2 linked regions of the Caenorhabditis elegans genome follow. The protein of the gene in region 2 purifies or fractionates together with the protein of the main gene of each other region. This does not show direct contact. Each region holds a gene or a part of one and is shown on either strand. Other genes may lie near its edges.

Evidence for each region.
Region 1: the proteins of ard-1 (region 2) and ZK154.1 fractionate together in Caenorhabditis elegans (co-fractionation; one large-scale study listed by BioGRID). This does not show direct contact.

The regions. Positions count from the first base shown.
Region 1 is NC_003284.9:7,775,835-7,782,618, forward strand, and holds ZK154.1 (Apple domain-containing protein), read left to right. Parts: upstream 1-3,742; 5' UTR 3,743-3,791; coding exon 3,792-3,890; intron 3,891-3,959; coding exon 3,960-4,143; intron 4,144-4,244; coding exon 4,245-4,350; intron 4,351-4,399; coding exon 4,400-4,493; intron 4,494-4,539; coding exon 4,540-4,686; 3' UTR 4,687-4,773; downstream 4,774-6,784. Other genes in the region: mec-7 (Tubulin beta-1 chain), read right to left, coding at 1-371, 493-620, 676-732; ZK154.4 (uncharacterized protein), read right to left, coding at 1,445-1,540, 1,734-1,814, 4,779-4,856, 5,508-5,582, 5,641-5,792, 6,447-6,576.
Region 2 is NC_003282.8:11,127,068-11,135,507, forward strand, and holds ard-1 (3-hydroxyacyl-CoA dehydrogenase type-2), read left to right. Parts: upstream 1-4,211; 5' UTR 4,212-4,225; coding exon 4,226-4,249; intron 4,250-4,332; coding exon 4,333-4,491; intron 4,492-5,273; coding exon 5,274-5,438; intron 5,439-5,485; coding exon 5,486-5,623; intron 5,624-6,252; coding exon 6,253-6,393; intron 6,394-6,443; coding exon 6,444-6,593; 3' UTR 6,594-6,716; downstream 6,717-8,440. Other genes in the region: SWI/SNF chromatin remodeling complex core catalytic subunit swsn-4, read left to right, coding at 1-8, 56-848, 897-2,546, 2,591-3,097, 3,143-3,628, 3,677-3,757.

The DNA of each region.
Region 1 (6,784 bases), on a different chromosome or scaffold from region 2:
TGGCATTGTAGGGTTCGACTACAGTGTCGGATACTTTTGGACTTGGAACTACCGAGAAGGTGTTCATTATCCGGTCAGGATATTCCTCGCGAATTTTTGAAATGAGAAGGGTTCCCATTCCAGATCCAGTACCTCCTCCAAGTGAGTGAGTAAGTTGAAATCCTTGAAGGCAATCTGTGCTTTCTGCTTCTTTTCTGACAACGTCAAGAACATTGTCTACAAGTTCTGCTCCCTCGGTGTAGTGTCCTTTGGCCCAATTGTTTCCAGCACCGCTTTGACCAAATACGTAATTGTCTGGACGGAAAAGTTGTCCGAATGGTCCAGAACGGACAGAATCCATGGTTCCTGGCTCCAAGTCAACAAGGACAGCTCTGAAAAACATACAGTTAGGTAAACGGTGGACAAAATCGGTATATGTCAAAAATCATGGAAAACGTCTAGATCAAAAAATAATTTCATGAAAAATTATGACAAAACAAACTATATCTATACCTTGGAACATATTTGTTGCTTCCGGCCTCATTATAGTAGACGTTGATTCTTTCGAGTTGAAGATCAGAGTCTCCCACATACTGGCCAGATGGGTCAATGCCGTGTTCATCGGATATTACCTCCCAGAACTGAAATTGCTTGGCATAAAGCACAACTAGGAACATTATAACTGAAAATACTAACCTTCGAACCGATTTGATTACCGCATTGTCCGGCTTGAATATGAACGATCTCGCGCATGTTGCTTGAAATTTGGACCCGACGTTTCTTCCTCTACACCTACAACTTCTTAGCAGGCGATCACTGGCGGAACGGCTGCCTTGAGGCTCGACTGACAACGGACCAAGACAAAAGATGCGACTCAAGACGAATAATGGGAGGAGTCACATCTCGGTGCCCCATCACTTATTCATGAGCTCTGCACCACGCACAGCCACCATCATATCTGTTGTAGTGTGTGCGACCATCGCTGCGCATCATCAACAAATGCATGGCATTCGAATAATGAGTGGTCCGAGAGAAACGAAAGAAGAAGGAAAGAGACGAGATCAAGATCCAACACAAAAAGCCATTTTTGAATTGTGCCATGAATTTGTGAAGAGACAACTGGTGGGGCGAGGGGGTTAGGAGTCATCACAATGAGTGCACTTAATGCATTGTGGATGATAGTTTCTGCATTTTTCGCGCTGTGTTTCAAAAATGCTACACACAAAACGTTTCATCTTGAAACACCCGAACAATACTATAGAGAGATTAAACGGTAAAAAAGGTGATGAGGATATAGCAAACTGACACAAAATACAAAAAATTGATAAGATAGAAGGGAAAAACGATGAGGTGGGAAAGTGCGGGGTGTTGAAAGCTCTTAAATTTAAGAGTTTTCATTTTGAATGGAGATTTTGAGGTTATCATATCACAATTGAAAGTCAGAAATCGAAGGAAATGGCAATTATCAGAGCATGTGGTGAGTACCAGCGTTTTGCAGCTTTTTCTGTTGGAGCCGACGTTCGTGCTCTTGTTGTAGCTGTTTATGGTGCTCTTCGCGGTGCTGAAATACACAGAAATGACAGGTTTACATTTCTAGATTACTACATAATTTTTGTTTTTTTTTTCTAATCAGCGAGCTGTCTTGAGTATCAATTTCTTTGCTTAAAATTTCATACATCATTGGCTAAACGACGAACGGAATTTTTTTTGATAATAGGTAATATTTTTTCAAAACTATTTTCTAAAGTACATACCTCTTTCAAGGTGCTATCCAAATCGTCATCACCCCATCCGAGAAGATCATCATCGATATCTCCAAGTGTCGGCGTAGCTCCCTGAAAAAAAAATGGATTGCAATCAGGTTTTCTTGTCTTTTTCCTGCATCACCACAGCGACACCTTTTGTCATTAGAATTTTTGTCTCCTCTTCCATCGCCCAGAAATCTTGTGAACGCGCGAGAAAAAAAAAGAGTCAAGCGCGTCCCCGGCATCTCTTTCCCGCAATTTGCGCCGCCGTCCCGACCGATTGGCGGCTATTCATAAAAAGTTGACGAACAACTAGATAGAGAAGTAGAAACAGACACAAGACAAGAAGAAGAAGGAGAAGCTGTTGAAGCTAGCTGAAGAATCCATTCTCAACAGGACTCTCCGTGGAAAAAATTAGGGGAGGAGAACAATCGAATACCGACTACACTGATTAGCAGAACGAGTATATTGTTCTTCTTTCGTTATTCTGTTTACTCGTTTCCTCGCACACTGTGAAAGCAAAATCATAAGATCGTCATATTATCATTGTCATGATGAAGCTTGTAAAAGTTATGTTCAAAAACGGTCCATCGTGAATTAATTTTGATTTTATAATATTCAATGTTTTACGTTTAGGTTGACCATATATATATATTGTAAATCGAATTGGTGATTTCTTCCTAGCAATGTTTTTTTGTATATCTCCTCTCTTCAAAAGCCCACAGTAAATCAAATTGTACCGTTTATGATTGTTCACATATCAGCACTAATCCGTTCATGAAAAAATGCTTTTGAAACCTGAAACAGATTGTTCAATCTGTTTCAGGTTTTAATTTAAAGTTAGCAGAAGGATAACTGTTAAAAGTCAAGTAGTAGGGTGCAATACGGTTAGAAGAAATAATAATGAGAGCAGTTGGTTGCATTAGAAAAAACAAAAATTAACTTCATTCCAAACATTTGCAGCGTCATGAACAATTGTTTCGTTTCTTTATCGAATAAAAAACTAAATAACTTGTTTTCTCAATTAGAATGTAATCCTCAATTTGGTATTTTTTTGAAATTTACTATACTGTTTGGAACGCAATTTGCGCTTAACTTTAATTGAAAGCCATGTATCAAAAGCTCAACGTCGTGAAATGTATGTTCATCAAATTATCTTATCTGAATTTTTCATGACATATTACAATACAAATTTTCTTAGAACATCTATAGTACAACCGTGTAAAATGGTCATACATGTTGCGTACCTAACGTAATTTCATGACGTTCTCCACCCCCAGCTGAATGCCAGATAAAAAATACCGCTTTTTTGGTGGCTTGTTAGTTCCTCGTTAAACGAAAAATACTATACGATAAGATACTTGCCATTCGATTTCACATTTTTGAATCTGTATTCACTTTCTATCCTTATCTTTTGCTGCGCATGTTTACGTTTACGAAACGGGCGGCCATGAAAGGTTAAATTCAGATATGATGAGGGGCGGGCACAACTCGCGGCCATCGGAAACAGGTTCTAAGGTTCACAGAGAAGCCCTTCACTTCTTCATAATCCGCCATTCACTTCATATTTTTCTGCGCGTGAAATCTGCTCGGATGCCATTACACTAAAATTTTATTAAACTATATTAACACAATCAGGCTCACTGGACAAAAAAGTATTTGTCCCAAGATGCAATTAAAGATCCAGTTTTCCTTGACCTCGACCTTAGCCAAACTAAACAGTAGCTAACGCGCGTTAGTAGTATAATCAGTTCTATATCACTGAAGCTGGAAACTAGTCTTATCGCTTGATGTTTGAAGAATGCCCGTCCGGCCAGACACCCAAACCGGGATAACAATCACTTTTCCCCTATCATTCACGCCTTTATTTCACAAATTCACGAATTCACCTTTTGTGAAAGATTGCAAGATTTGAATCTCACGAATCTCCACCCCCCCCCCCCCTTTTTCCAACTTCATTTCATTTACAAACCCGTCCCATTCTGCCATTCTGTTTGCATTTTTTTCTTCTTTCAATTGCCATCGGATTCAAGATAACCACATATTTCAAAAGCTTTTTTCAGAACCATGCTGAAATTGGTAATAGCGTGTCTTCTTCCTACTGTTGTCTATTCGGCAGTTCAATGTTATGTTGGCCAGAAATTATTCTCATACGAGTCCACAAATGTAAGTCAGAATTTTCATACTTCTAAGAATTTTCTAATTATCAAACTCTTCTAAAAGCCAGCAATTTAGGCGATCTGTGCCAAATTCATCCCATATACGTGTGCGGTGCAATGCGAATGGCGCAAGCAATGTAATGAACATACGTCGTTCTCCACTTTCCGCGGACGTCGCACTTTCGTTTCTGGCCTTCTCCTCAACTCGAAATCCTTGATGGTTTTGTGTTGCGCTTCATTGGCTACTAGAGTGGAGACAGGTGAGGATAATGTAACAAGTGACTAAGACTCACATCGGCGAGAAACTCAAAAACTAGCTGCCATCGCAAGATTAACACGACCAAAATGTTGCGTTTTGCAGACAGCAGCGGTCGTGAAAAGTGTATCTGGAGAGACACCGAATCCATTTCCGTCCTTGGTCCATCCATCAGAACCAATCCGGTGTTGGCACCAAACCACTACATTCGGTAAGCATTCTCTAGTTAACTAGCATTTTCTATAACAATCACTTTTTAGTGACGTTAAAATGGAACGCGACGGAAGCTCCCGTGTTGATGTAACAATTGAAGTTTGCCAATATCAATCAGAAAGGGATCATTGCAAAATTGATGTAATTCATTAATATAGTTAACTGTTCTTACTATTCCATGTTACAGGAGATGAGTGAATTCGAAAAGAAGAGATTCAATGTAATCAAGGGAAAGCTTGATAAGGCTGCTAATGAGAACGGCGTCACAACGACAGAAGCACCGACGGAAGTGAAAAATGAAGACGATTTTCTCAACAAGAAGCTCCTCAATTAACTAGTTATCTCATCTACAGCGTACCTCTTATTTATGTATAAACATTGTTTGTTTTGACATCCTAATAAATATATAAACCAACCCAAACTCACCACATTTGCTTCGTTAAAGTCAAATCTGCTTTTCTTGGGAGCCGTATCACGGAACCCGCCTCGTGGGGCCAAGACAACCTGGAAAGAAATTAATTTTCCCAGTTTGGAAAAAGTATTTTTAATATCAGAATGCATTGTAAAAACAATTATTTTGCGTTGCAATTTTCACAGTACAAATACTTCTTCAGTTCAGTTGGTTTGTATTTTCAGAGACTAATTTGCAAGGGAAAAAATTGAATGCTACATGTTTTCCTCTTGCTGGGATTATGATTCAAACTACCAAACGAAAACATTTAAAATGCGGAATTTATAAAAAAGAGAACTAGACAAGTTCTAATTAAACGTGGTTTGCAAAATTACTAGAAATCTTCTGCCTTGAATTTTTTGTTTTTAGTTTCTGTCTAGATGAAGTTTTAAACAAAGTTGATAATTATCAAATGTTCCAAAAAAAGTGTAAAATATACTATTTAAACTATAACGTTTAACGAGTTCTGAAAAACAATTGCTACAATACAATTTGGTAGACTTTATTGAGAAGTGACAAGAGCGAAGCAACAAATGGCAAAATTTTGATTTAATATTGAAAATATTACAAACTAGTTAGCATGCTGTTTCACATTCAATTTTAGTATTCGTGTGGAATTTATTATTCTCACATTTTTAATTTTATTGAATTGATTTTTCATCAATATAATTGAGACTAACGTTTTTTTTCTTTAAAATACATACTTTTCTGGCGCTGGTAATAGTTGGCTCTAGTGTGCTAAACAAGTCGTCATCTGGTTTGGTGTGGGTGTCCGGTTTCTGAAATTAAATAAAACACGGTATAGATTGTATGTATTGTGCCTGCTTTTGAATTCACCTGAGCATTACTGTTTCTCCATTGCTCAATTTTGTCGTTCACTTCTTCCTTTTTATCCCAGTCATCGTCTCCCCACGAATCGGTGACTTCATTTTGAAGCAGTGATGCTCGTTCTTCACCTTTCCTTTCTGTACGACCGTTGTCGACGACCACTGAAAAACTTTATAAAAGTGGTGCTTTTCTTTTAGCCTGACCTTTTAGGCTGCGGTTTGATTTTAAAATGAAAAATATATATTCTACTTGTTTCTACTATGCAAAACAGAGAAAAAAAAGAAAAAATAAAACAATAACTTTGCTCAACCCGGAAAAAAACCCAGTTTATTTCAATCGCTCCATATACTTTTCACACAAATTGAACATCCTTACTATACTTGGTGTATACAATTATTTAAAAAAAACAGGAGTTTAAGGGGGTCTCCTATTGAATTTTGTTCTGACACCCAGGCAGCAATGTTTTCTTCGTATGCTGGTAAAGCTTTACCTCTTGAACTGTAGCGCCAAAAATATTGACAACGCTTAAAATCACATTCAATAACGGCTTTTTGATTTAAAATCTTAATAGCAAAAAAAAAGAAAAGCATATGTGAAAAATTGCAATTCTTTTTGTGGCTGGTCTTGATGTCAAGACTTCAAGTAACAAACGGTATCGGAAGACAGCAACCCATAAAAGAAAATTCAATTTTAAGAGCTCTTTGTATTTATCTTCTTTTATTCCTGCACCACATTAGAAGCTTTGCCACTTTTGGCAACATTTTCAACGTTAACACTTCAGTTTTTATTTTCAAAATTTTTAATGAAAAGCTTACCCTCAAACGGCAAGTCATCCACATCCATGCGCTTTTTGTTGCGATTCCCATTGCACAAATTCCGAATAAAAGCAATAATCAATTGAAGGAGACGCATCGTCGACACGTATACTGCCCGAACAATTGACATCTAAACTCGCATAGATTGTATCTATTCCATGGAAAATGGAAGAGGAGAAGAAGCGCAAGTGGAAACGACAAATATTGTGGAAAACCGTGAGAGTCCACAAGAACTCTCAGTGCCCAATAGCAGAAACGGTGAAAAAACGCCAGTGATACAATGGCAAGAAAGAAGAGACGCAGACAATGGTCGTCAAATGGGGCACATTGACCGCAAA
Region 2 (8,440 bases):
TATCATAGGTGAGATTGTATTTAGAAAGTTCTCCTACTAATTAAATTATTTTCAGAAACAATCTTCTGAAAATGGCAAAGTCTCGCAAGGCAGTCATGACATATCATCAAAACAATGAACGTGAACGCAAGAAGGACGAGATTCGAAATGAAAAACTTCGTATGCAAAAACTGATGCAAGAAGATGAAGAAGGATATCGTGCTCTTCTTGATGAGAAGAAAGATCAACGTCTTGTGTATCTTCTTCAACAAACCGATGAGTACGTCGACTCTCTGTGCTCACTTGTTCGTCAACATCAAAATACCGAAAAGAAAAAGAAGAAGGAAGATAAGAAAATTGAAAAAGGAAATCAAATGGATGAGGAAGCCAGGGTTCACGTTCGGGAGAGAAGCACTGGAAAAGCGCTTACTGGAGATCAAGCTCCAAAGACTGAAGAAATTGAGTTTTGGCTTGAAACTCATCCAGAATATGAGATAGTTCCACGTGATCAGCTTAGTGATGACGAAGAAGAGGAAGAGGAAGAGGCTCCAGTGGAACCAGAAGAAGAGAAGGATGATCAGTACGCTGGAATGGATGAAGAGACAAAAGCTAAGATGATCCTCGAGAAGGCACGTAACGAAGAGGATGAATATGATCAGAAAACGAAAAAGCAAATGGCTGATTACTATGCAACTGCTCACAAAATCAAAGAAAAGGTTGTCAAGCAACACACAACGATGGGTGGTGGTGATCCGAATCTTCTGCTGAAACCGTATCAGATTAAGGGATTGGAATGGATGGTCTCCTTATACAACAACAATCTGAACGGTATCCTCGCCGACGAAATGGGTCTAGGAAAAACTATTCAGGTAGGAATTTGGGAAATGAGGAAATATTAATCAATTTTTAATTTTCAGACAATCTCGTTGGTGACGTATTTGATGGAAGTCAAACAAAACAATGGACCATATCTTGTCATCGTACCGCTCTCCACGTTGTCCAATTGGCAGAACGAATTTGCTAAATGGGCTCCATCTGTAACCACTATCATCTATAAAGGAACTAAAGATGCTCGTCGTCGTGTTGAAGGACAAATCAGAAAAGGAGCGTTCAACGTTTTGATGACAACATATGAATATGTGATCAAAGAGAAAGCACTGCTTGGTAAAATCCGTTGGAAGTATATGATAATCGACGAAGGACATCGTTTGAAGAATCACAATTGTAAATTGACATTGATGTTGAACGGATTCTTCCATGCTCAGCATCGTTTACTTCTTACTGGTACTCCACTTCAGAACAAACTTCCTGAGCTATGGGCTCTGCTGAACTTCTTACTTCCATCGATCTTCTCATCTTGTGGAACTTTCGAACAATGGTTCAATGCTCCATTTGCGACTACAGGAGAGAAAGTAGAACTGAATCAAGAAGAGACGATGCTCATCATCAGAAGACTGCACAAGGTTCTTCGTCCATTCTTGCTGAGACGTCTCAAAAAGGAAGTAGAATCACAGCTTCCTGACAAGACCGAGTATGTCATCAAGTGTGACCAGTCTGCTTTGCAAAAGGTTATTTATCGTCATATGCAGAAAGGATTGCTTCTCGACGCTAAAATGTCATCTGGAGCACGTTCGTTGATGAACACTGTCGTGCATCTTCGCAAGCTTTGCAATCACCCGTTCCTTTTCCCTAATATTGAAGATTCCTGCCGTGCATACTGGAAGGTCAACGAAGTCAATGGAACCGATCTAATGCGTGTTGCTGGAAAGTTGGAACTTCTCGATCGTATTCTACCGAAACTAAAGGCAACAGGTCATCGAATTCTGATGTTCTTCCAGATGACGTCTATGATGAACATTTTCGAAGACTTTTTGAATTTCCGAAGATACACGTACCTCCGTTTAGACGGTTCAACTAAACCAGACGAGCGTGGAGATCTGCTGACACAGTTTAATGCTCCTAACAGTGATTTGTTCCTTTTCATGCTTTCTACAAGAGCTGGAGGTCTTGGACTCAATTTGCAAACTGCTGATACTGTTATTATCTTTGATTCGGATTGGAATCCTCATCAGGATATGCAGGCTCAAGATCGTGCACATCGTATCGGACAAAAGAAAGAAGTTCGAGTTCTTCGTCTCATCACAGCTAACTCTGTTGAAGAGAAAATTCTTGCCGCTGCTCGCTACAAGTTGAATGTCGACGAGAAAGTTATTCAAGCAGGAAAGTTCGATCAACGTTCAACTGGAGCTGAAAGAAAGCAAATGCTCGAACAAATTATTCAAGCAGACGGAGAAGAGGAAGAAGAAGAGGAAGTTCCAGATGATGAAACTGTGAATCAGATGGTTGCTCGCTCAGAGGAAGAATTTAATATCTTCCAATCGATGGATATTGATCGTCGTCGTGAAGAAGCTAATCAACTTCACCGTAAACCCCGTCTTCTAGAAGAACATGAAATTCCAGACGATATTCTCAAATTGTCATTCGATTATGAGGAAATGGAACGAGCCAGAGAGGAAGGTCGTGAAGTTGTTGATCAAACTCCTAATCAGAGAAGACGCAGAAGAGAGGTAAGGAATATATAAGAGAATTTACAATATTAATTCATTTTCAGGTCGACTACTCTTCCGATCTTTTGTCCGATGAACAGTTCATGAAACAAGTTGAGGAAGTTGAGGATGAAAATAATCAAGCTGTGGCTGAACGTAAAAAGCAAAGAAAACGTAAAATGGCTGGATTGGACGAGAATGATGATTCTATGGATGACGTTGTTCTACAACACAAGAAGAAGAAGACGGATCCAGAATTGGCAGAAAAAATCAATGAAATGCTTGATGTTATTCTAGAATATAAAAATGAGGATGGAGAACTCATCGCGGATGTATTCCAGACACTTCCAACTCGTAAAGAACTGCCGGACTATTATCAAGTGATTTCCAAACCAATGGATTTCGATCGAATCAACAAAAAGATCGAAACAGGACGTTATACGGTTATGGAAGAATTGAATGATGATATGAATTTGCTTGTGAACAATGCTCAAACATACAACGAAGAAGGCAGTGAGATTTATGTTAGCTCTGAAACAATCGGAAAATTGTGGAAGGAACAATACGATAAGGTATGATTGATTTTTGAAATTTCGAAGTTTACATTACTTTTTCAGTTTATGAATCCACCGAAGCCAGTAGAAGAACCAGTCAAGAAGAAAGAACCTTCAACCCCATCAACTTCATCTTCTCGTCCCTCAACCAGTGGCACTCCAAGTGTGTCAGATCTTCAGCGGACACAACAGGCAACTGCTCAGCAAATGTTAATGCTTATGACACATATGCAATCACTTCCACCCGCACAGGCTCAGCAGTTTCAACAGGCATTGATGACACAGACCGGTGGAAATCAAGCCCTAATGCTTCAATATATGCAGTCGGCTATGCTAGCTCAACGTGCACAAGCTTCAACTAAAGTAACCCCCAAAAAGGACGAGAAAAAAGAAACTTCGTCTTCTGTAAAGACCGAGGAAGCTAAGAAAGATGATGAACCATCAACATCGTCTGCAAGTGCACCACCACCGAAAAAGAAGAAGGAATCGGAAGATAGTGAAGACCCAATGGAAGAAGATGAAGAAGAGGAGATCATTGGACAAAAGAAGGTTACTTGAACTTTTTTAATGTCTTTAAGTCTAATATTTAATTTCCAGGAACCAGCATCAAGCCGTCGAAAGTCTCGTCCAACTCGCCGCTTCTCGAACGAGGATGAGGAAGAAGAAGACGACGAGTGATCAAAACTAGTCTGCTCCAAATATTTTCATGTCCCCATAAACATTTATTCTCTGTTTGTGTATTCTTCATGTTCTATGATTTCTGATTTTTTGAGCTGTCACCATAAATATGTCCCACCTCGTTCCCCCATTCTTATCTCTCCTGCTTCACAGTTATCTCTCATCGCTTTTTTACTGTTTATCTCTACTTCTCTTTTCTGTCGCAAGCTACACGTTTGCAGGAAAAAATCCCTGAAACAAAAGCATTAAGCATTGTATTTAACCCATATTCCACTTTTAATCCATACTATTCGTCAACTATTTTAAAGAAAAATTTAATTTTATAAACATTTCGAGAGAAATATGCTTTTGTTATCAAGAATTATTTTCGAATTTCGTTGCGATTTCTTTTATTAAATACTTTCCGTCTTAGTTCGAGATTTTGAATGTTTAATCAAACACACTTATGATTTAGGTAAACGGGAACAAATGTCGGCACTCAGAAGCACTAAGGTGAGTTTAAGAGCTTGAAAAGGTTGAATACTTGCTCCAAAATTGAAAGTGTTATCTGAAAACCCTACGTTCTATCTTCTCAGGGTCTCGTTGCTCTCGTCACTGGCGGAGCGTCTGGACTGGGAAAGGGTGCTGCCGAAGTTTTGGCAAAGGCTGGTGCACAGGTCGCTATTCTTGATCTTCCACAGTCAAAAGGAGCCGATGTTGCGAAGGAGATCGGAGGAATCTTTACACCAGCTTCGGTAACAATGATTTCATGCTACATTTGTAAAGAGAAACTTCAAGTAAAATATTACCCAGACGCCAATTTTGCGATCTCTGTCTCGACACGCCCTTTTTTGTAAAATAGAAACGAGTGTGTGCCTTTAAAGAGTACTGTTATTTCAAAATTTCGTTAGTACTGAATTTTCATGAAATTCTCATCGTTTTTTAAATTAAGAATTAAAAATTGAAAGCACATCAATTTTATTCAACAAATCATGATAAAAAACTACGAAAAGTCGATAAAAATTCCACAGCATTTTCAATTTTAAGAGTACTGTAAAATTACAGTACTTTTTAAAGGCGCACATACATTAGTATTTTACAAAGTTTTACGCTTCAAATATTACGATAACACAAAATTCTGAGAATGCGTATTTTGCAACATATTTGACGCGCAAAATATCTTGTAGCGAAAACTACAGTAATTGTTTAAATGACTACTGTAGCTCTTGTGCCGATTTACGGGATCGATTTTCGAAATGAATTTATTCTCGAATAGTGACAGTGATATTAGATTTTCCTTCATTTTTTCTTAAATTAAATAATTAAATTGATTTTAACTAATTTGGAAAAAAACCAACCCTGAAATTGATACAAGAGCTACAGTAGTCATTTAAAGAACTACTGTAGTTTTCGCTACAAGATATTTTGCGCGTCAAATATGTGGTTCTATACGCATTCTCCGAATTTAGTGCTCCCGTAATAACATAATTTATTATTGTATTTTCTCATTAAAAAACAAACGTTTCATAAATTTCAGGTAACATCCGAAGAAGAAGTGAGAGCAGCTTTTGCCAAAGTTCAAGCTGAATATGGTCGCCTCGATGCTCTTGTGAATTGTGCCGGAATTGCGTATGCTTTCAAGCTCTACTCTGTTCAAAAGAAGAAACACGTTGATTTTGAGAAGATCCGTCAGACCATTGATGTCAGTTACTGTCATTTCAACCACCAAAATAACTTAAAACAATTTAGGTTAATGTTTTGGGAACATTCAATGTTATCCGACACGGAGTTGCTTTAATGGGAGAACACGAGAAAGATGCCAATGGACAACGAGGAGTTGTAATTAATACCGCTTCGGTTGCAGCTTTTGATGGACAAACTGGACAGGTAAATATAAATATTTCGAGGCACAAAATTTTGAGGTTTTTGTATTATATGAAAGTTACAGTACCCGGTCTCGACACGACAATTTTGTTAAATACAAACGGCTATGCGCCTTTAAAGAATTCAAACTTTTGTCGTTGAAGAATTTTTATCATGTCTTCATTTTTTTGTTAAAAATATATTTGTTACTGTAAAAACTAAAATAAAACTAAAATAACAAATTGTGAGTGAAACTATAAAAATCGATGAAAGCTCTGCAGCAAAGAAAGTTTGAAATTAAAATACCGTTTGTGTTTTACAAAAAAAAGTGGCGAGACCGGGTACCGTATTTTTTGGCGAAAAATTTCTAATTTATGACTTTTATTCGAATTAAAATTCTAAAATTTTGCCAACATTTTTCAAAATCAGCATATCATCAATTCGCAAAAACTTGAAACTAGATGCTAAGCATTTTATTGTGAATCCTGGATTCTTCTGTACAGTTCTGAATTTAAAATTTCATAAACTTAATTTTCTGCACCAAATGAACAAAACTGTGAACCTTGGCACATATAACACATGTAACAGGCCAAATTTTTGAAAATATACAATGCCAATTTAACAAATTTAAATAAGTTAAAAAATTTTTGCAGTCTGCCTATTCTGCTTCTAAGGGCGCTATTGTTGGTATGACTCTTCCATTGGCTCGTGATTTTGCTGGCGATGGTATCCGATTCAACACTATTGCTCCAGGACTTATGGATACTCCACTTCTCTCTTCACTTCCAGAAAAGGTGAGGGCTGAAAAGGACGTTCCTATTCATTAAACAAGTTTAATTTTCAGGTTAAATCCTTCCTGGCCCAACTCATCCCAAATCCATCGAGACTTGGACACCCACACGAGTACGGAGCTCTTGTGCAGCACATCATTGAAAATCAGTATTTGAACGGAGAAACTATTCGATTTGACGGAGCACTCCGCATGCCGGCTTAATTTAATATCTCTTCATTCCGATTGTTTTTTAAGTACAGAGTTTTAGATCATTTTTTTGTTTGTTTTTCAAGATTTCGAAATTTGATAATTTTGCGCATATTTCTAATGAAACAGTGATTTTAATATATCATGAAATTTTGAAACAGTAAAAACAAAGCAACTTAGAAACCGAGCTCAACAGAAATCAGAAGGTAACATTAGTTTATAACAACTTAAACAACAAATGGTCGGCAAATACTGTTGTACTAAATACTTGATCTTTTACTTCGTATCTATTTTGCTATACAGTAGACATTCTTACTACCACGGCAGGGATTATATCATTTACTACTGATATTTTACTACGAATTAAAAATTAATTTCTATATTTAGTATATTCTAGATATGAAAAAATGTATGAATATTAAAAAAAAACATAGGTCCCAATTGTAGTTTGTTCTCTAGTAGTTCTTGTAAATTTCAGTTGTTTTCTTTTGATACTGAGTTGGAGATTTGTAGAGTAAATTGAATTACACTTCCACACAATACAGTTCACATATAGAAATGGCGGCCGCGAAACTCAAAAGAAGGAACAGACAATGCCCCCTACAAAAGTTACCGTAACCTGAGATTTTATTCTCGCGCTTATGAATTCCTCTTATGACAATTTTTCAACTTTTCCATCTCTCCTTGTACTCTGGGATCTATATTCATAATTTCTATGATTTCTTGCTCCTGCTCTTGGACCTTCTCACTGTTTGTAGAAACTAGACATTTAGAACTGTTTCATCGTGAAACTTTCATCAATTTAGTTCTTCGAGGCTTTGATTTTCCGAATTGCGAGGGGAACCTAAAACTAAAATAGGTTTATAGATCCATTCAGTTTGATTTTCCTTTTATGTCTTGTTGGTTGCCAACTCTTTTTATCTCCACTATCTACTTTATCAATTCAAAAAAGAATTGGTTAAGATTCACTTTTTACAGCGTGACATTGATGGCTTACATAGATAAATGCTAGATTAAAAATATCTATTCATTTTTTGATTATTGTTTATTTTTCTTCATCGAGCTGAAGGTTGCCCTCGTAAAAATCAGGTATTTTATTCATTTCTTATCAGGAATATAAATTTACTGTACCAATTTAATGGCAAGTATCTGTTCTGTGCCGTTTATCAATTCAAAAAAGAATTGGCTATACGGTAAACAGCGGATGCCTTGTGGTTTCATTGGTACTTGTACCACTTTAATTACAAGTATCTGTTCTGTGCCGTTTATCAATTCAAAAAAGAATTGGCTATACGGTAAACAGCAGAATTCGGAAAAATTCGTTTAAAAAAAATTGATCGTGGTGGAGAGAAGAAAAATATCCGAAAAATTAGAAAGTTTGTAATAACTTTCTTCCTCATTTTATGTACAAAAAATAAAGGAAGTTTTACTTCAGAAACTTTTACTGTGAGCGTTAGGAAAAATATGCTACTCCCGTTTCAGATATTCGGAATCCTCAGTCGCGCTTATTGTATCGGAAAGAGATATATGTAATTTTAATTAAAAATACATTTTGAAATGTAAAAAAAATCAGCTCCTACATATTGTCTTTCGAATTAAAAAAAAAGGCCATTAAAACTAAGAAGTAATACAGTAATTTGTTCTATCGGGGGAGACTGTGGCAGCATCTCCGCACGTAGTGTCAAAGTGTCCCATTTTGGTTTGATCTTCGAAAAATGCGGGAGAAGAGACGCAGACTTTTCATCTGATTTTGCATGGTAAAGAGTGTGCTTACGTCACATTTTCCTGGGGAAAAATTCCCGCATTTTGTGTAGATCAAACCGCAATGAGGCAACCTGATACCACGTGTCTCCGCAGCTCTC